Canis lupus familiaris: one gene and its partners. The main gene of each other region encodes a partner of the protein of the gene in region 3 in a complex. Links are inferred from orthologs where the notes say so. Each region holds a gene or a part of one and is shown on either strand. Other genes may lie near its edges. The genes, in order: POLR1F, POLR2H, POLR1B, POLR1E and UBTF.

Evidence for each region.
Region 1: POLR1B (region 3) and POLR1F share a complex: the UniProt entries of both Homo sapiens proteins name them as parts of the RNA polymerase I (Pol I) complex. The link is inferred for Canis lupus familiaris from reciprocal best matches to the Homo sapiens genes POLR1B and POLR1F.
Region 2: POLR1B (region 3) and POLR2H share a complex: the UniProt entries of both Homo sapiens proteins name them as parts of the pol I pre-initiation complex. The link is inferred for Canis lupus familiaris from reciprocal best matches to the Homo sapiens genes POLR1B and POLR2H.
Region 4: the proteins of POLR1B (region 3) and POLR1E are in contact, whole or in part, in a cryo-EM structure (PDB 8A43), measured with the Homo sapiens proteins. The link is inferred for Canis lupus familiaris from reciprocal best matches to the Homo sapiens genes POLR1B and POLR1E. Residues at the interface, in NP_061887.2 of Homo sapiens: Lys254, Ser258, Phe259, Ser260, Tyr262, Gln263, Gln266, Ser295, Thr296, Gln297, Ser338, Thr340, Glu341, Ala532, Cys535, Pro541, Ile542, Asp543, Gly544; in NP_071935.1 of Homo sapiens: Gln27, Ser29, Asn30, Gly31, Tyr69, Thr76, Leu79, Lys80, Cys81, Leu84, Cys85, Met109, Gln110, Pro111, Leu112, Phe113.
Region 5: POLR1B (region 3) and UBTF share a complex: the UniProt entries of both Homo sapiens proteins name them as parts of the pol I pre-initiation complex. The link is inferred for Canis lupus familiaris from reciprocal best matches to the Homo sapiens genes POLR1B and UBTF.

What each region holds. Positions count from the first base shown.
Region 1 is NC_049235.1:33,912,370-33,916,431, forward strand, and holds the start of POLR1F (DNA-directed RNA polymerase I subunit RPA43), read right to left. Parts: upstream 2,810-4,062; 5' UTR 2,760-2,809; coding exon 2,518-2,759; intron 1-2,517. UniProt on the Homo sapiens protein: Component of RNA polymerase I (Pol I), a DNA-dependent RNA polymerase which synthesizes ribosomal RNA precursors using the four ribonucleoside triphosphates as substrates.
Region 2 is NC_049255.1:17,408,721-17,412,814, forward strand, and holds the start of POLR2H (DNA-directed RNA polymerases I, II, and III subunit RPABC3), read left to right. Parts: upstream 1-1,289; 5' UTR 1,290-1,451; coding exon 1,452-1,524; intron 1,525-2,890; coding exon 2,891-2,974; intron 2,975-3,057; coding exon 3,058-3,151; intron 3,152-4,094. UniProt on the Homo sapiens protein: DNA-dependent RNA polymerase catalyzes the transcription of DNA into RNA using the four ribonucleoside triphosphates as substrates.
Region 3 is NC_049238.1:36,973,087-36,976,598, reverse strand, and holds part of POLR1B (DNA-directed RNA polymerase I subunit RPA2), read right to left. Parts: intron 1,478-3,512; coding exon 1,281-1,477; intron 910-1,280; exon of another isoform or gene 1-909. UniProt on the Homo sapiens protein: Catalytic core component of RNA polymerase I (Pol I), a DNA-dependent RNA polymerase which synthesizes ribosomal RNA precursors using the four ribonucleoside triphosphates as substrates.
Region 4 is NC_049232.1:54,125,679-54,129,753, reverse strand, and holds the start of POLR1E (DNA-directed RNA polymerase I subunit RPA49), read right to left. Parts: upstream 2,805-4,075; 5' UTR 2,686-2,804; coding exon 2,610-2,685; intron 2,098-2,609; coding exon 1,994-2,097; intron 781-1,993; coding exon 704-780; intron 1-703. UniProt on the Homo sapiens protein: Component of RNA polymerase I (Pol I), a DNA-dependent RNA polymerase which synthesizes ribosomal RNA precursors using the four ribonucleoside triphosphates as substrates.
Region 5 is NC_049230.1:19,054,972-19,058,483, forward strand, and holds part of UBTF (nucleolar transcription factor 1), read left to right. Parts: intron 1-376; 5' UTR 377-444; coding exon 445-502; intron 503-1,945; coding exon 1,946-2,121; intron 2,122-2,676; coding exon 2,677-2,760; intron 2,761-2,857; coding exon 2,858-3,013; intron 3,014-3,512. UniProt on the Homo sapiens protein: Recognizes the ribosomal RNA gene promoter and activates transcription mediated by RNA polymerase I (Pol I) through cooperative interactions with the transcription factor SL1/TIF-IB complex.

The DNA of each region.
Region 1 (4,062 bases), on a different chromosome or scaffold from region 3:
TGCCCTGACCAGAATACAAGTTGTTCTGATTTTCCCTAAAGTTGTTTAGATAACTACTATAGGTAACACACTTTCCTCCCCCTCTTCTGGAGCACACGTGGCACCAGAAAGTCTGTTAAGTGTTAGACCTCTGACCTAACCAAAATGCCTTCTGCACACCCCTTTGTACTCTGTAAATGTGAACTAAGGCCCAAACTTTGTGGAGAATAGCTGTGCAGCTGCAGGATAATCACATGTCCAGTCCCCTATGTCAGTAAATTACCCAGAATCGAAGGGTGTGTAAAATGTATGGAGTCACCTACTTCATTTTCAAATCTCAAAGTGCCTTCTCAGTTTGGGGGATACTTTATTGTCCCTCCTCCACTTCCCAACACTCTGGTTTTCCTCATTTCTCAAACAAAGTGAAACAAGTCTTCCTGATTCCTCCTGATGGCGCCAAAGTCTGTAAATCTACCTATACACGATAAATGATTGACATTACAGTTCAAGGTTTCGTCCCTAATTAGAAATGTATAGTTCAATGTGTGCTGCTTTATTTGCCCTAAGTCCGAGTCTTTATCACACTGGGGTAGCCCACTACCCAGAGTGGTACTGGGGGGTGGGGGAGGGGAGGGTGTGGTGGGCAGTCCTCATTTGTTCAGAGCGCAACCTGCTCCATAAGGCCACACTGTCCATGGGTTCCTTATATCTCTGGGGTAATGGCTCGGACTTGGGACACTTCAGGTGGCTTCCTCCTAGCCTGTCAAGTGGAAGCACTGATTGGTTCCAGAAAGTAGTAAGTATATCAAACAATGCCTCTTTCCAGATTTTATGACCACTTTTATATCCTTAATAACTCTCAATTCCATACTCTCTAGTCATTTTCTCTTGGACAGTTGTAACAATCTCTTAATTGGTCTCCATGTCTACAGCCTCACTCAAGCCATCAGCTAATGCTATCAAGCGTGGTTTCTTCTTCAACTGTGTATCTGATCATGTCCCAGAGATCGGATATGCACTACTCTCTCCAGAGTGCACCAAATTTCAGAACTGGAGGGCACTAGGAGGACCAAGCGCCAAGCCTGCTTAAGCAAAGAGGAAAAAAAAACCTAGTAGATAAGAAGGAAAGAGCAAAATGTACATCCTGAGTGATCCCCCACGCTGCCTCTGCTCTCTTCAACTGCACACACTTTCTTTCCTCTTAACATAAATCTTACTCCAATTATATAGTACTTACAATTCTCTGACCAAAGCAGTCTATTTTTATCTACTATCCGTTTACGTTACACTTTTTATGCCTTGAATACTACCATCTCAGAGGTCCTAATATCAAATTCACTACTCTTTCTCTTAATATAACTTTAGACCTCTGTCAAATTTTAACATTTCATTCGATTTATCTGACATTTATATCTTTACTAGAGCTTACAGTTTCTTGAAACAGGGATCTTGTTTTTTCTTTGTTTTTAAATCCTAAGTCCCTAGTACATAAAACAGCCACCACACAAGGGTGCTGGTGCTTGGAATGAGCCGTACATCCTAGACTTGCTTGCTTCTTAACCTGTTCAGGATCCCTGGAGAAAGGGAACACTTTGGATACTTTGACCTAGAACACGGACAGCAAATTTCCCGAGGAGGGGGGTGGGGGTGGGGGGAGGATGTCATGAAATTTCTGAAGTGCAGTAAGGAATCCCCAGGAATTCCACTTGTCCCAGCTCCGGAACCTTTGCTTTTGAGGCAAAGCAGCCCTATTGCAATATTAAAGTACACATGCCCCCTTCCTTTGACCCTCCGTTCTTGTAACTCCGTTTCTTCTGAACACATTAAACGAACCACAAAGGTTTTTCACCCCCAAGCCCAACAGAATGGCCAGTTAGATTAATTAAACTGCTCTTAAAAACAAAACAAAGGGGGCATCCCTGGGTGGTTCAGCGGTTTAGCGCCTGCCTTCAGCCCAGAGCGTGATCCTGGGGTCCCCGGATCGAGTCCCGTGTCGGGCTCCCTGCATGGAGCCTGCTTCTCCCTCTGCCTCTCTATCATGAATGAATGAATGAATGAATGAATGAATAAATAAATAAATAAAAACACAGTACTTTTCTCGTCCCTGATCAGGTCCCAAGCAAGAGAACCCAGCAGAAGTATCTCTCGGGCAGCCCGTGTGGCCCAGCGGTCTAGCGCCGCCCGCAGCCCGGGGCGTGACCCTGGAGTCCCGGGATCGAGCCCCACGTCGCGCTCCCCGCGTGGAGCCTGCTTCTCCCTCTGCGGGGGGAGGGGCGGGGGCACCCGGGCCGACGGGGTTTCTAGGCCCCTGCTCTATTCTTCCCCCTGAACGCCATAGAGCAAGCTCCTCTAGCCCGTCCCCCTTCCTGCCTGTTACATGGACCGACTAGGCAGGTACCGGCCTTCCGGGCCCGAAGAAGAGTCCCGAGGGCGTCCAGGTGGCCAGGGCGTTCCTGCCCCCTCACGCCTCTTCTGCTACCTCGTCGCTACCCCCGCCCGTGCGCCGGCGCACGCAGGAAGGGCCCGAGGGGCCGGTACCTTTCGGAATAGCGCAGCAGCTCCGCGTCCAGCTGTTCCCGGATACCCGTGCGTTTCCGGTGAAGGTAGCGCGGCGAAAGCGCGATGTGTCTTCGGTGCGGCCCCGCCACCAGGCAGGAGTAACGGCTACTCACCAGCGCACAAGCCGCCGCGTAGGTCGGAAGCTCTAGGCAAGGCAACACGCCGGCCGGCCCCTCAGAGGCCGCCTTAGGCGGCGGAGACTCGCAGCAACCCGCAGCCATGCGCTTCGGCCAGCTTTCCCGCGGCGCCCACGGCTGACGCACGCGCCGCCGCCTCCTGCGGGCGCCCGGGTTCCACGTCATCCACCCGCCGGCCCGCCCCTAGGAAATTGCTCTCCTTGAGTCGCGTTACGCGCTTGTGACCAGCAGAGGGCAGCCGCTTTTCCGCCTGCGGGACGGCGGCGGGAGCGGAGAGCCGCGGCTCAAGTCCGGAGCGTGCTGCAGGCCCGGCCACCACCTCCTCTCCTCGGGGCAGCCAAACCGTCCGCTAACGTCCTTTTTTTTTTTTTTAATATTTTATTTATTTATTTATTCATGAGAGACACAGGCAGAGGGAGAAGCAGGCTCCTCGCAGGGAGCCCGACGCGGGTCTCGATCCCAGGTCTCCAGGGTCACGCCCTGGGCTGAAGGCGGCGCCAAACCGCTGAGCCACCCAGGGGATTCCCCGTAACGTCTTTTTTGTTTTTTTTTTTTTTGTTTTTTTTTTTTTAATTTTTTTATTTATGATAGTTACAGAGAGAGAGAGAGAGAGAGAGAGAGAGAGAGAGAGAGAGAGGCAGAGACACAGGCAGAGGGAGAAGCAGGCTCCATGCACCAGGAGCCTGATGTGGGATTCGATCCCGGGTCTCCAGGATCGTGCCCTGGGCCAAAGGCAGGCACTAAACCGCTGCACCACCCAGGGATCCCCTCTTTTTTGGATTTAATATGTAGACTTAATAGGGGTTCGCACTTTGATAGTTTCCAGTAATAACGTGGTCTGGTAAATTTTGCCAGCGTGGACAATACAAATAATAAACTTTAAAATTTTAGGGCATGTATTTTCTGCAGGGAATCCAGTCCTAAAATGCAGCCCAGATGCCTCAACTGCGAGACATCTGAAAATCAACCCATCATCTCTCTCTCCCGTCTGGACTCTCTGCTCAGCCTGTAACAACTAACTCAAGAGATCTTACCACTTTCCAAAGGGCTCAGCTCAGCTGGTCCCCTAGGAGCCTCTCTTGTACCCTCAAATATCGAGTCGGCCCCACGGCTTGTGGGGTCCACGGCGGAAACATCGGCCTATTGGGGATACTTCTGTCTGTCCTCACTTCCCAAACCGCAGAAGTGCCTGTGGAAGCTTAGTCCTGATGGTCAAGAGGACCCCCGGGAGCCCCTTCTCCCAAACACAAATAGAACCATGACTTGTTCCCATGGGCGCCCCAGGTTTCTCAGGGTAACACAGACTCCTTAATATGGCTAAGGTACTTACAAGACCATATAGGGATCTGCTGCCAGCCCCGGAGTCCCATTTATCACAATCCCCACT
Region 2 (4,094 bases), on a different chromosome or scaffold from region 3:
CGGGGGTGAGGACGTGATGCTCGGAACTGAGACCCTCCCGTGTCTCTCATCCTCTTCCCTCCTCCTCTTCTCCAGGGTTCCTCTTCTAGGAAGTCACACCTGGAGCAACCTGGCCTGCGGGGTGTACGGGGTGGAGACAGGGAGGAAAGGTGAAGGGGTGAGGCCCGAGGGGAGAGATGTCTAGGTGCTGGCGAGGAGGCTCCTGGAAGGCGGGCGTGGGGGTACAGAGGTCGTTTTTCCCTGGCGGGGCCCAAGGAGAAACTCGAGTAGCTGCTGACGTCTCGCCGCCACCTGGGGATCTGTGTTCTCTCTCAGGGTCTGGAGAAGGATGGAGCAGAGGGTGGGGTGAGCACAGGGTGGATGGACAATGTAGGAGAGAGCGTGTTAGGGGAGAGGCGGGTGCCCAGGACACGGGCAGTGTGCGGGAGGACGCAGTACCAGGATGGAGGGGCCCGCGGGAGGCAGAGGCGGTGCCCAGGAAGGGGCAGTGTGAGAGGAGCGGCACCCAAGAGGAGGGGGGGCTCGTATCCGTGGGAGCGGACGGTGCCAGCCTGAAGGGGCACGTAGATCAGCGTCCAAGGGAGAAGGCGGGGGGGGGGGGGCAGGTAGTACCAAGCTGCAGGGGCAGCGCTGTGTGATGGGGTTAAACGCCAGCCGTCAGCCGGGCTGAAGAGGCGGAGTGGAAGAGAGTGGGGCCCCGGGGAAGAGGGCAGTGGTAGGGGGGTGCTGTACCAGGGGAAGGGACGAGCGCAGGCTTTCCTCTTCCCCATAGTGACATCATGGCAAATTCCCAAACGGGACGGAGCCGGCTCGGGTGACATCCAGCAGGGCCAAGCCGGTCCAGCCCGGTCCAGCCCGGTCCAGCCCGGGCCCGGCTAGGAAGCCTCGGTGCCAGCTGTGGGGACTGGGCTCTGCGCCCCGCAGGGTCAGCGCGCTGGGGGCGGAGTTCCGCCCCGTCCGCCCTCCGCGTGGACTGTGCCCTCGGCGGGCACGCAGACCAGCAGGGGAAGGTTTGCGCCGGGCTTCTCCGGGCCAAGGATCAAGGTCCCGGGCTGGGGTAGGCCCGCCCGCATTCCAGGCGTCCCGACCCGGCCTCTCAAGAGGGCGCAGCCGAGCCTCCGCGTACAGCGAGACGCCGCGCCGCCTCGGCTGGAGGTGGAACTAACCGGGTCCCCGCCCCGGGGCGGAGCCACCCGGCCCCGAGTCCCGCCCCCCACTCCCGAGGCCTCTCGGAAGGCGTCGTTCGGGGCGGAAGTCCGCGAGCCCCGAGGCCCAGGCGGCGGAAGTGGCGGCGGCGCTGCCTGCCCGCGCGCATGCGTGTTTCTAGGGCTCTGCGGCCGCTCTCTGGGCGCGCGCTCTCCTTCTCTCCTTTACTCCACGCGAGGGGGAGCGCGTACCCCTAGGCGTGGTCGCGCTCCCGGCCCCTCTCGTACTCTCGTGGCCACCTCACCATGGCGGGCATCCTGTTTGAGGATATTTTCGATGTGAAAGACATTGACCCGGAGGGCAAGAAGTTTGACCGAGGTAAGGTGGAGGTAGACGTAGGGGCGGCCGAGTCAGGGGGTAACCTCCTCGGGGACACGCCTGTGGGCCCCTGGTCCACCCACGCCGCGTGGCCCGCCCCTGCCGGCAGTTCCTGACTCAGGAATCCCCATCAGGAGACCTTGGATCGATGGGAACTCGGCGTCTCCCGAACTCCGCCTGGCTCCACACAGGCTGGCCCGGTGCCTGGGTGGCCCGTTCTCATGGTGCTGGTGCACCCCCGTGCATCTTCCAGTCGCTCCCCACTCTGCTGGGCGCTGTAGCGTGCACCTTACACACACTTCGTCCTGCCCAGTTCTCTCAGGAGCCTCCATGAAGTAGTTGGTGTCTTACCCATTTTGCCCCGAGAAGTTAAGTAAGCTACCCAAGGCTGCACAGTGACTAGTCCGACTTCAGAGCCTGTATTCTTGTATTGTCCTGAGAATCTCTAGCCCTTTGTGACATCCGCTCTGAATTAGGATTGCTGCTTGCCATACAGCTCTTTATTCTGCCGTTGATCAGACTGGGCCTCCTTGGGGGTCTCTTCTTTTGTCCAGAGACTGAGATGTTCTTCAAGACAAACACCAGGTCTTAACAGTCCTGATAGTCCACTCAGCACAGCAGCTGGCACAGAAAGACAAAACTTTTTTTTTTTTTTTTTTAAGATTTATTTATTTGATAGAGAAAGCAGAGTGAGAGCGTATGAGTGAGGAGGAGGGGCAGGGAGAGAAAGAGAGACAAGCAGACTCCCTGCTTGAACAAGGAGCCGGATGCGGGGCTCCATCCCAGGACCCCGGATCACGACCTGGACTGAAGGCAGATAAACAACTGGGCCACCCAGGCGCCCTGAGACAAAACCTTTGGGGGGATCCCTGGGTGGCTCAGCGGTTGAGCACCTGCCTTTGGCCCAGGGCGTGATCCTGGAGTCCCGAGTCGGGCTCCCTGCAGGGAGCCTGCTTCTCCCTCTGCCTTTGTCTCTGTCTCTCTCTCTGTGTCTCTCATGAATAAATAAATAAAATCTTTATAAAAAAAAAAAAAAGACAAAACCTTTGGATGAATGAATAACTTGTCTAAAGTCAGGTTGTTTGTTAATCACCTAGGCAGGCCTAGAACCTGGATATTATTTATTGCCAGAGGGACCTTTGGTTGTTTTCTGGGATTCTGTCCACTTGCCATAGTTTTCACTCCTTTCCTTCTGGCATATCTGGTTCTCATTGAGTCTGCACTTCTTTGAGAGCAGACGTGAGGCTAGTGGATGCAGATGGGGTTCGAATGAGTGCTCAATTGCATGTAATCCCCCAAAGTGGGGTCTGCAGGGTCTGCAGAGCCTGGCAATTACCTATGCCACTCTTTCTCTACCTCCCTCCAGTGTCTCGGCTACATTGTGAGAGTGAATCTTTCAAAATGGACCTGATCTTAGATGTAAACATTCAGATTTACCCTGTAGACTTGGGTAAGTATTGAACACAGACAATAGCAGAAGGCTTTTTGACATTTCAGCTGTTCTTTAGCCTCTGGTATTGCCATGATTTTCAGGTGACAAGTTCCGGTTGGTCATAGCCAGTACATTATATGAAGATGGTACCCTGGATGACGGTGAATACAACCCCACAGATGATAGGCCTTCCAGGTGAGGAAGTGAAGTACTTCCCTCTCAGGAAAGGAGTACTTGAAATACGCTTGAGGACTAAGTAGATAAGTGGTATAGGAAAAAACCCTTATTTAATTTGTGGAATAAATGATTATCAGTAGTATCTGAGCAACCTTAAGGAAATTGCTGCACTTAAGAATTCAATGGGGATCCCCAGGTGGCTCAGCGGTTTAAGCGCCTGCCTTCGGCCCAGGGCATGATCCTGGAGTCCCTTCGGCCCAGGGCATGATCCTGGAGTCCCGGGATTGAGTCCCGTGTCGGGCTCCCTGCATGGAGCCTGCTTCTCCCTCCGCTTCTCCCTCTGCCTGTGTCTCTGCCTCTTTTTCTCTCTCTCTTTCTCTCTCTCTCTGTGTCTCTCATAAATAAATAAATAAATAAATAAATAAATAAATAAATAAATAAAATCTTAAAAAAAAAAAAAAAGAATTCAAACAACCAGGTAGCCTGGATGACTCATGGCTCAGTGGTTTAGCGCTGCCTTCAGCCCAGGGCTTGGTCCTGGGGACCTGGGATCGAGTCCTGGGTTGGGCTCCCTGCATGGGGCCTGCTTCTCCCTCTGCCTGTGTCTCTGCCTCTCTCTCTCATGAATAAATAAATAAAATCTTAAAAAAAAAAAATTCTAACAACCAGGTGTTTTTCCAGGGCAGCAATTACATGCTTGTGGGTTGTACCTTATCGATGGCTAAGGAGATGACCATCAAGTGACCCAGGCTATGTGAGCCTTGCGTCTTGGGAGAGAGTTTGGTGTGATGGAAGGGCTTTGGAGCTCTACTGAGTTCAAATCTCAGCCCTATCAGTTCTTTGTTGAATGGCTTTAACCTCTTGCAGCCTCAGTTTCCCCATCAGTAAAGTGCAGATGATCACACCTTGCTCATATGGTTGCTGGGAGGACTAAATGGCATTGTGTTTGGAAAACGTCTGT
Region 3 (3,512 bases):
CATTCCCTTCAAAATCCTGGCATGTGGAGGACAGGGTCACTTCTTGGTAGCTTTTGCCTGGGCTGCCAAATCTGCCTCTTTGTGGGCAGCCAAGAATGTGGCTTGCTCCTTGTGGTAAGCTGCCAGCTCTTCTGAATGGAGGTCCTTCACCACACGAATGCCCAGGGAATGGGCAGAGCCAATGATGGAGTGAACCACAGAGGACAGAGTGAACCACATCCTGCAGGGCGAAGGCCTCATCCTGAGCTTTAATTTGGGCGATTTCATACACATGCTTCAAGGTCACCAGGCTGGCCACCTCCTTCCCTGTCTGCCAGGCCCCCTTCTCAATCCCAGCAGCTGCTTTCAGGAAGTAGGAAACAGTGGGCTGTCCAATTTGATTTCAAATGTCCTATTAGGCTTCACAAAAATCTTGTGGGCAAAGGAATGCCTTCTTTGATGTCTTTTGTCTTCTTGTTGAACTCCTTGCACAGAACTGGTTGATGGAAACACCTCTCTGACCCAGGATGGGACCTAATGGAGGCCCAGATGTGGCCTGGCCTGCCCGCATGATGGTCCGGATCATGCCTCTGGCCTCGGGCTTCCTGAGGGCCTGAGTCGCTCGGTTCAGCATCGACATGATGTGGGGTTGCCAGCCTCAATTCACTTCAGGGTTACAGAAAGAGTGATGGCCACAGGTGTCACCATCCTGGGACAGTGGTCAAGCGTCTTCACCATAAATAAATAAAATCTTAAAAAAAAAAAAAAAAAAAAAACCTCCAAATTTTCCAAGCTTTCTATACTATTAAAACCCACTGATAGGGGCGCCTGGGTGGCTCAGTGGTTGAGTGGTTGAGCCGTTGGCTCAGGTCATGGTCCCAGGGTCCTAGGATCGATTCCTTTCATCAGGCTCCCTGCGGGGAGCCTGCTTCTCCCTCTGCCCATGTCTCTGCCTCTCTCTGTGTGTTTCTCATGAATAAATTCATAAATAAATCTTTTTTTAAAAATAAAAAACAAAACCCACTTATAAAGGGCTTAAAGCCTAATCATGCATAATGAATATAAAAGGTAGATATATCCAAAACTACATTCATTCAACATCTACTCATACTATGCACTCAAATATGCACAATATATGCATATCTGAATATTTAGTGAATATTCCTCAGGGCTTACCACTTTCAATGGAGACTAGGAACTAATCATTTAACAGAATACTCATGTGCAGGGATACAGAAAAACAGTAAATGAAAAAGTTAAAAATTAAAAGGAATGGAACTACATCTCTTAGTAGAACTTACCATGGCATCTTCCATATCATACCCAGTGTAAGAAATAACAGCAACGATGGCATTTGTCCCAATTGGATAGTTATCCATGTCATAATAATCATACATGTATGGTCTCACTAAAGGGCTTTGTGGGGTCTGAAGACGATACAGTTTATTATCTGATCGGGCTTGGTAGGTGAGAAGTGGAAAGCCCATAGTTTGCTTCCCTACAAAGGGAAAAAAAAAAAAAAAAAACCAAGCCTGTAGCATCTTCTTTTTTTCCCCTTGATTATAAAGGTCATATATAAAATTGGAAACAATAAAATATACATCACAGAGCAATGAATAAATCAATACACAGCATGAAAATGAAGCAGAATCACATGTATCTATGTAATCAGACCATGAAAACAATGCTGAGTGGGGAAAAAAAAAGCACAGAATGTCATTTAATGTATGATTTATGTACATTTGTAACACATCCCAGACAATTCTATACCTAGTTTATGGGGACATGTATATTATGTAAAAAAAGCATAAAAAAGGAGATTATAAAGGATATCTATATCTATATATATAAACAAACTACAGGGTATTACTAGTGGAAGAGAAGGGGTGAAAAGGGGACAGTAACTATTATCGAATTAGATTATTTTCTTACACAGCAAAATGCCAGTGTTTGTTAATTCTGGGTGTGGGGTACAGAGGGTAGGGAAGTAAGACTTCTTTGTACTACATTATAGAGTATCGATTTGAAACAATGTTAAGACTAAATATATATATGCATACATACATAGCGGAATTTTAAAAGACAGAAAAGGAGACTTCCAGTTTCCAGTAATAAAATGCTGCTCCTACAAGACCACTCTCAGCACATAAAATCCAGAACAATATAAAACAGAAAATCACCACTTATGCACACACAGACACACACACACAAAATCTGAACCCACTGGAAAATAACCAAGAGCTAACAGGTACTAGAGACGAATTTACACTTGAACAAAAGAAATGGAACAGAGTGAAAATACTAGCTTTTTTAGTTTTTAATGTTTTGCCTGATGGTCCAGTCAGTATAGTGGCTACAACTTAGAGACCTACAGTCTTGCTGGCTTGAAGAACCAAGGAGTAGAGTTCAGAACACAAGAGCAACTCAAATGTAAGAGGGGATATTTTAGAAAGGAAGGAACAGTAAAGAGCCTGAAATTCTGCATATAAACCGAGTCAAATCTTCGGTGGACTGAACTATGCATGCATGGGACAGATCTGAGCAGCCCACCTCAGGCCAGAAGAACATACTTCAACTGCTCTGTTCCACTACCTAACAGTTAAAGATAAGACCAATCCTCTTCAGAGGAACATAATAGAACCCATAGTCTTTTTTTCCTTTTCCCCTAAGGATTTTATTTATTTGAAAGAGAGCATGCACACAACAGAGACAGAACACGAGCAGGGCAGAGGGGTAGGGGGAGAGGGAGAAGCAGATTCCCCTCTAAGCAGGGAGCCCAATGTGAGGTTCCATTCCAGGACCCTGAGATATGACCCAAGCCAAAGACAGATGCTTAACCAACTGAGCCACCCACGTGCCCCTGATGATATCTTTTAAAACAGATTAAAAAAAAAAACAAGAACAGATTTTAGAATATCAGTAAACTGCAAGCACAAAGATCATATCTAGACATATCATACTTAATCAGCTACAAACCAGATATAAAGAGAAAATCTTAAGGATGGGAAAATAACACATTATATACAATCAATCACTGACTTCTAGACACCAAGAAGAGACCGTGTAACATCTCTTAAGTGCTAAAAAAAAAAAAAAAAAAAAGTAACTGTCAAATCAGAATCATACATCCAGTTCCAAGTAAAGATGAAATAGAGACATTTTTGGAGAAATAAAACCTAAGAGGATTTGTAGCCAGCCACCTACTATAAAAAATGTTATAGGAAGGTTTTTTAGGCTCAAGGGATGCAACACTCAACGGAAACCTGAATCATTAGGTAGGCAGAGCACCAGAAGTGATAAGATGTGGGTGACTACAAGGGCTTGTGTTCTTCAAAATCAAATTACAAGATCTCAGACAAACCAAATCAATAAACATTCTACAAAATAAACTATATTTTTGTTAAACAATGTTAAAATCAAAAATGACAAAGGCTAAGGATCTAATTTAAAAGACTAAGAGGGGATCCCTGGGTGGCTCAGCGGTTTGGCGCCTGCCTTTGGCCCAGGGCGCAATCCTGGAGTCCCGGAATCGA
Region 4 (4,075 bases), on a different chromosome or scaffold from region 3:
AAAAGTTGCTGAGAGCAAATCTTAAAAGTTCTAATTACAAGAAAAAAATTGTAATATGTGTGGCAGTGGATGACTTTTTTTTTTTTTTTTTTTTTTAAGATTTTATTTGAGAGGGAGAGAAAGAGTGAGAGCAGGAGGAGGGAGAAGCAGACTCCTTGCTGAGCAGGGAGCCCAACATGGGGCTTGATCCCAGGAAGCAGGGATCATGACCTGAGCCAAAAGCAGAGGCTTAATCAACTGAGCCACCCAGGCACCCCTGGATGACTGCTTATTGTGGTGACCATTTTGCAACATATACAAATATCTAATCATTATATTATATACCTAAAACTAGTGTAAAGTTATATCGCAGTTAAAAAATTATTATTTAAGACTTTTTAAAGTAATCTTTACTCCCAAAGTGGGGCTCAAACTCACAGCCTCAAGACTAAGAGTCCCAAGCTCCAATGACTGAGCCAGCCAAGCACCCCTAAAAATTATCTTAAAGAAAATTACAAATGAATGAGATTTTAGGAAATCCAACAAATGTTAACTTATTTTTTCTTTTTAGGCATGTTGGTTGTGAAGGCCCCTGGATCTGGGAACCCAAGGACATGGTAAACCTCTCCAGATTTGCCCCCGACTCCTAAAATAAAGACCGAAAACAACAGTGCCAGGCTCACCACCACTATCCTCCCCTTGTTGTCCCTTCCCCAACCCCTACCTGCACAAAGTGTTGCATTTGAGGGCTCCAGTCCCGAAATTGTTTCCCACGTAGGAAAGTCTGTCTGTTTCAGCTGCCTAAAATGTAAAGTGAAAAAGCACCACCACAACCAATGTTGAGAGGTATCAAGCATATTGTCTCCCTTTCCCACATTTGCAAAAGCTTTAGAATCCAAACCACAGTGGATCAGAACTAGAGAGCCTCTGGGAGGTGATCCAGCCCCACTCTCCAAGTGAATCTGGGTGTCTCTGGGAGAAAGGCAAGAGGACTTTTGAAAGGGAAGCCCCATATAGTGCTGGCTTCTAGCTGGTCTGAAAAGTGCTCAGGGGAGCTATACCACAGGACTTGGGAGAGAGCTCCTGGGCTAGCACTTAGAGGCATGCAACAAAATGGTTCTGCCAGCAACCTCCTGGGCCCAAAGTCCAAGCCTTCCTGAACTTCTTTGTCCATCTCTCCCATGGCTGCTGCTTATATGCTGGCAGGACTATGGAGACAGCTAATTCACTCCTCAATCACAGCCAAGCTTTCCTGCTTCCCTATGTTTGTCCCTGCTCTCCTTTTCACTTGGAATAGGGAACCTCAGCTGTCAAACCGTCCTCCAGTCTTCAGAGCTTAGCTGCTATGTGTCCTCCCCCAGGAAGGCCTTCTGACAAGCAGAGACTTCCTGAGCTCAAATGAACTCGTTCCAGGCTCAGAGCTTGCAGGCTTGTGTGAGTTACTGAACTCAAAACCAGTTCTCACCTTTCGAAAGCAGTTGTTCTCACCCAGCAAATCACCCTTGGTTGGGGGGGGGTGAGGGGGCGTGAGGGACACCTCTGGGAATTCTGGGTGTCACAAAGAGGAGGTGCTACTGGTATCTAGTGGTTAGAGACCAGGGAAGCTGAACATCCCGCAATGCACAGGTCTGGCCCACAACACAGAATTATCTGGATCAAAATGTCAATAGTGCCAAGACTGAGCAACCCTGCTCTAGAGTAGGAGCTCCCCCAGGGTGGAGCCAAGTCCCATTTCGCTATTTCCCGTGCAGCTTACAGCACAGCCACGGTGGGTGCTCAATAAAAGCTTGCTGAATGAATAGATCAATGAAAGGTCATCACTTCACCAAAAGTACATAACTGAATGAATGGAGCCTGTCCCCACACCCCAACCTGCTGGGACTCACGGTTCTCCCAAGGCTCATTTGCTATCTCTTTTCTCCTCTCCCTCCCTCCCACATCCACCCACACCCAAGCGCCTCCAAGACCTTCAGAAATCTGCAGAGTGGAGGCAGCTGGCCCCCGCAGCACTTACCAGAATCCGCTGACTCCTCTTCCTGGGGTTTGTGGAGTCATTGCTCTTGTACAAAGTAAAACGCACGTTGCCTGGATTCTGCAGCTTCCCGTTGGAGAACTGCACTGTAAGATTGCAGCGCAAAAATGAGATGAGTAGAAGGACCCACAGTGTGTATGGTGGGGAGGAACCGGACTGTTCGTTGGGAGAGAGCGTCTGAAGGCATGGGAGTGGTAAGGAAGCCCAGGCCTGAAGGGGGGCCTGAAGGAGGTCCCTGCCGGTCGGGAAGAGGAGACCGGGAGGTGAGGGCAGTGCTGGCGAAGGGCCGCGACGGAAGGAGATGACCAGGGTTAAACAGCTGAAGCCTAGCCCAGACCGTGGAGAAAAGGATACGGGGCAGGTGTGAGTGCGTGACGGGGTGACTGGGAGAGCCCTGAGGAGGAGGCTGCCTGGGATGTCCCCATCCAGGTGGTGACAGAGAGATGGGGGGTGACCAAGTCCCAAGCAGTGCCGGAGGCTAGAGGGCGTCTTGGCCCAGCCGGGAAAGGGGTCCGGCAGGGGCAGGAGGGCTGCAGAAGCACCCAGACGGGAGCGGAGGGAGCTGTGCGGGACTCGGCTCCGGCTCCGCGGTCTTTACCCAGTACGGCTCTCTGGCTCTCGTCGGGCTGCCCACAGTATAGCCACCGCGCACTCGGCAACACCTCCGCCGCCATCTCCCGGTCCGGCCGCCAAGGCTAAGGACCCGGATAGACTCGGCCCGGAGCGCCTTAGCGGTCCACACGCGGCGGCAGAACCGCGGGGCGGAAGAGGCGTGGCCTCCTCGGCCCCGCCCCGCCCCGCGCGTGCGCACACGGCGCGGCCCCGCCCCCGCCGCGCTCCCCCGCCCACTCTTCGCCCCGCCCCGCCGCATGGAGAGGCGGGGACTCTCTCTGCCAACCCTGGGGGCCCCAGGCCTCTGCCCCGCTGGCCTCCCGGGGGCGCCGCGCTCGCCTACGCGTTGAGGGTTGTGGGGGATCAGGCGACTTAGCAGAGCGGAAGGGCCAAAGCCGGACCCTTTGAGCGTGGATTCAAAGGCAGGTATCTTTGAGGGCAAGAACTCAGGTGGCCTCATCTGTTACCCAGGTCGCCTTCGAGTCTCAACAAAGTACGTCACCAATTGTCCCAGTAAAGTGTTTACAGCAGAAAGAACCTGTCCGAAAACACAGGTTGCATTTACTCAACGGTCTTTAGTTTCCTTCAACCCAGAACAGTTCCTCATTTGCAGTTCCTGCAAATTTTAAAGATTACAGGCCAGTTGTTCTGTAGAATGTCCCTCAATCTGGATTTGTCTAATGTTTCCAAATGACTAGTTTCAGGTTATGCGTGCGCCTTTGGCAGGGCTATCACGGATACGATGCTCACTGTATCCTATTAGGTGGCCCACAATTTCTCTTTGTCCGATTACTGATAACTTTGACCACTTCAACCAGTTAGAGGTTTCCCTGCTGTAAAATTACTCTCTTTGCTTTGTAATTTCCCTTTGTACCTGACTCTTATTTTGTGAGTGGGTATTGAGAAACTAATTTCCTGTTCATCGCACTACCAATTTATTCATTTATTTATATCAGTCTGGACTTGTAGATTCCTATTTTATTCAATAGATTAGAATCTACTATCACCTATTTTCAAGTTCTAGTTTTATCAGATCGGGCCAGTGGAAACCCCGTTAAGTTGGTTTCTGGGTTCTTTTTACATGTCCACATCATTTTTTTGAACGTGTCCTTACTTTCTGGCACAAGATATTTCAATTTGTCATGTAGTTTCCCTGCCCCAGCCCTGGAATCACCCATTTCTCCAAGGAGTTCTGGTTTCTTTTGGTAGGAAACAGTATTCAGAAACTAAGATCTCTGTAGTAGGTATGGACTGCTTGGGGGATGTCACAGCTCCCAGGCCTGAATGAACTGACTTAGGGATTATATGTAAGTAAACACACTTTCACAACTAACAGTAAGTTTCTAAAACTTAGAATTTCTAGATCCATATATATTGAAAACCATGAGATCATAGTGACTTCTAATTCCAATTCAGCACCACAGAGTTTATTCTGATTTTCCTTCCTCCCAT
Region 5 (3,512 bases), on a different chromosome or scaffold from region 3:
CGCCCTTCCTCCTCCCCCGCCCTCCAGCCTGGGGCCTCCCCGGGGCGGGCGCACAGAGGAGGAGGAGATTTTTTTTTTTTTTTTTTTTTTTTTTTGGCCCGGGTGGGGGAAGGAGGGCGGAGGGCGGGCGCTCGCTGCACGCGGGAGCTGGGAGCAGTCTCTCGCGTGGGCAGGGGAGGGCGCACGCGGTGGAGCCGGGCTGCAGGGGCGCGGGGGGGCGCACTCCCACACCCACAGACCCTTTAGGTCTACTAGGGTCTTGGCAGGGTCTCCGTTAAAGTGCGGACTTGTGCCCCCCTCCCCCTTGGGGGAGGGAGGAATAGAAAGTCCCTCACCTCGCATCCCGCCTGAGTGGGGACTGGTGTCTCTTCTAAAGGGTGAGGTGGTTTTGACCGCGGGTTGCCCGGCCAGCACGACCCAAGGAGGAGGCTGGACGGCTAAAGAATGAACGGAGAAGCTGACTGCCCCACAGACCTGGAAATGGCCGCCCCCAAAGGCCAAGGTAGGAGCACTTTAACTTACGTCCTCTTTTCCCACATGGTTGTTTGCGGGACCCCCTCTCCTTCGAAAGGGGTTAGACAGTCCCTGTTCTCTGAATCGAGGTGAGGGGGGTATCTTCAGTTTTATGAGTCAAGTTTGGCTAAACCCAAGTTATTTGGCCTTGAGGCTATAAACTATATTTTCCACACTTCATTCTCCCACTTAGAGAGAGAGTCTTATGGGAGCCTTCATTCTGGGATTCCCATCTGGCCAGAGTTTGTCCTTTCCTCACCCAGAGTCCTGGAATGGGAGGAAGGATGAGCAATGGGGGGGAGGGGGAGAAGGGAGGGATTGGCAAGGCTTTTCAGGTGTTTTATTGTTATTCAGAGGACAAGGTTTTGGGTGAGGCAGGTGGAGACAGGATATTTTGGTGGTTTGAGGCTCCAAGCCATAGGAGGTCCATAACTAGATCCTACCCCATCCAGGAGAGATCCTGTGCCGATGGGGGCAGGGGGTTGGATGAAGCTGAGCATCTGGCCCTGACTGGGACGCTGAGAGGACTGAGGATTATTGGTCCATGTGACCCACCCTGTGGCAACCTTGACCCTGGTTACCAGATGCAAATGCAAATGAAGAGCCCTTTTGACTCCTAGTCCTGGTTGTTCTCCTAACTTACCTTCCAGGGTAGCCACCCTCCAGAGAGGCCTGCTGAGGCTAGTTCAGTGGCTGGAAATAGCTGGTTCAGACCCCCCCTCCCCCTTTTTTTTGCCTCCATGGGGAGTTGGACCCAGAAGACAACTCAGAATTCTGGGGGTTCTCCCTGGAGCCAGGGCCCTGAGAACCTTTGCTCGTCTGCTTGTCTTGCCTCTCAGCTGCCCTGTATGGTTCTTCCATTTCCATTCCATTTTTCTTACTTGCCCAAAATTGCCCATGTCTCCAGTGTTAGTTTCCAGCTGTGCCAGAGAGAAATGTCTGCATGGGTTCTCCTTACTGCCCACACTCCATCCTCAGCCCTTGCACATCCATGGTATCCACCTAGAACTTAAACTTGGCAACACATTTCAACTTGGTCTGCCTCCCTGCTTCCCTCCCCTCTCCTAGTAAGTTAGCTGTTTTCCCACCAGGTCCCAAATCACTGTAGCTTCATTTCTTTCTCTTCCCTGCAATAAATAGTAGTCTGTGGCAACCTGGCATGTTAGAAATGACCATAGTTTTGAAGTAAACCAGACTTGATTTCAAGTCTGGCTTTCTAGGTATGATGCTCTCTGGTCTGGAATACCCGCTCCAATCCACATGGTCACAGTTTTCTCTTGTGACTAGGTCATGTCTTGTCTTTGCCTTCACATCAGAGATCCCCAGGGATTTGGGATGCCCAGGGAAAGAAGGATTGAGCACTTAAGGACTGGGGAACAGATGGGGGGGAAGCATGAGCTGGGCATGATGTGCCTTTCTTGCCCCTCCCCAGACCGCTGGTCCCAGGAAGACATGCTGACTTTGCTGGAATGCATGAAGAACAACCTTCCATCCAATGACAGCTCCAAGTTCAAAACAACCGAGTCACATATGGATTGGGAAAAAGTAGCATTTAAAGACTTTTCTGGAGACATGTGCAAGCTCAAATGGGTGGAGATTTCTAATGAGGTAACTGATCCCCTCCCCCTTCTGCTGCCCCCTTCCTGACGCGTCTACGTGAACCCCTGCCTCAACCTTCCTGGTGGGGGAGAGGAAACAGAAGTCAATAAACAGGAAGGAAAGAGACCAGGCGAGGTGCTTATGTGGTCGCCCTTGTGCATTGGGGAGGTGGCACGGTTGATAGCACTGGCCTAGAGCTCTCAGTTCTGCCGCTTCCTAGCTGTGTGGCCTTGAATACTTACATCTGGGATCTTCTCTCGCCTGAGCTGTTCTGGGGATTGAATGAGGTGCTGGCATGGACAACACATCGAGGTCAGGTGGTCACCTTGTTGTCGTCCTTTGGTGTGTACGGACTGTCTGGTCCTGTGCCATAGGAGTGGGCCAGTGCCCAGGTGTTGTCTGGGTGTCAGGGGCTGAGTTGTGGCTGTTGGCTCCTGCCCCTCCTCGTCTGATAAATTCAGTGTAGTGGAAAGTAGAGGAGACCTGTTGGGAAAGGGGGTAGGCTCTAGGGTGGTGTTTTCCTCTCCTGAACTTCCTCTTGCACTCACCTCCTTTCTTCTCCAGGTGAGGAAGTTCCGAACATTGACAGAATTGATCCTTGATGCTCAGGAACATGTTAAAAATCCTTACAAAGGCAAAAAACTCAAGGTGAGTTTCCAGGAGGAGGAGTATGATGTGTAAGAGAGGAATGGTCCAAAGAACAGATACTGTCTGACCTTCACCGTGTCCTTGACCCTCCTTCCAGAAACACCCGGACTTCCCAAAGAAGCCCCTGACCCCTTATTTCCGCTTCTTCATGGAGAAGCGAGCCAAGTATGCGAAACTCCACCCTGAGATGAGCAACCTGGACCTGACCAAGATTCTGTCCAAGAAATACAAGGAGCTGCCGGAGAAGAAGAAGGTGGGGGGAGGGGGGCAAAGTAGGGAGGACGGGAAGGGCAGGGAGCAGCTGGTGCAGTGTAGGTCAGCTCAGGCATAGAGGGACATCAGGGATGGGGTTGGGTAAGCAGAGCAGAGTGCAGGGTCCTGGGCAGCCACACTCGGTCCCCTCCTCCCACTCCCATACACTATCAAGTGCAGGCATGGTCGAAGGTGTGACCCGGACTGAAGCAGATGCTCGGACCAGCCCTTTCCCCCCACAGACAGTCCAAGTGTTGCCTCATCCAGCTTTACCTCTATGGTCGCATTCTCACTGTTAGGCTGGCACAGCAGCTCATCCTTGGACAGTTTTCACTGTGGTCTCACTTGGTGCGTGCAGTATCCTCATAAAGGGAACCCCCAGAGAAGGGGTTATTCCGGTTGTGTGGGCAAGGAACTGGGGCCCAGGAGGGACTCGCGTCCTGGGTCACACAACTAGCAACAGCAGAACAGCACTTGGGTGCTCTTCTCACCGCCATGTC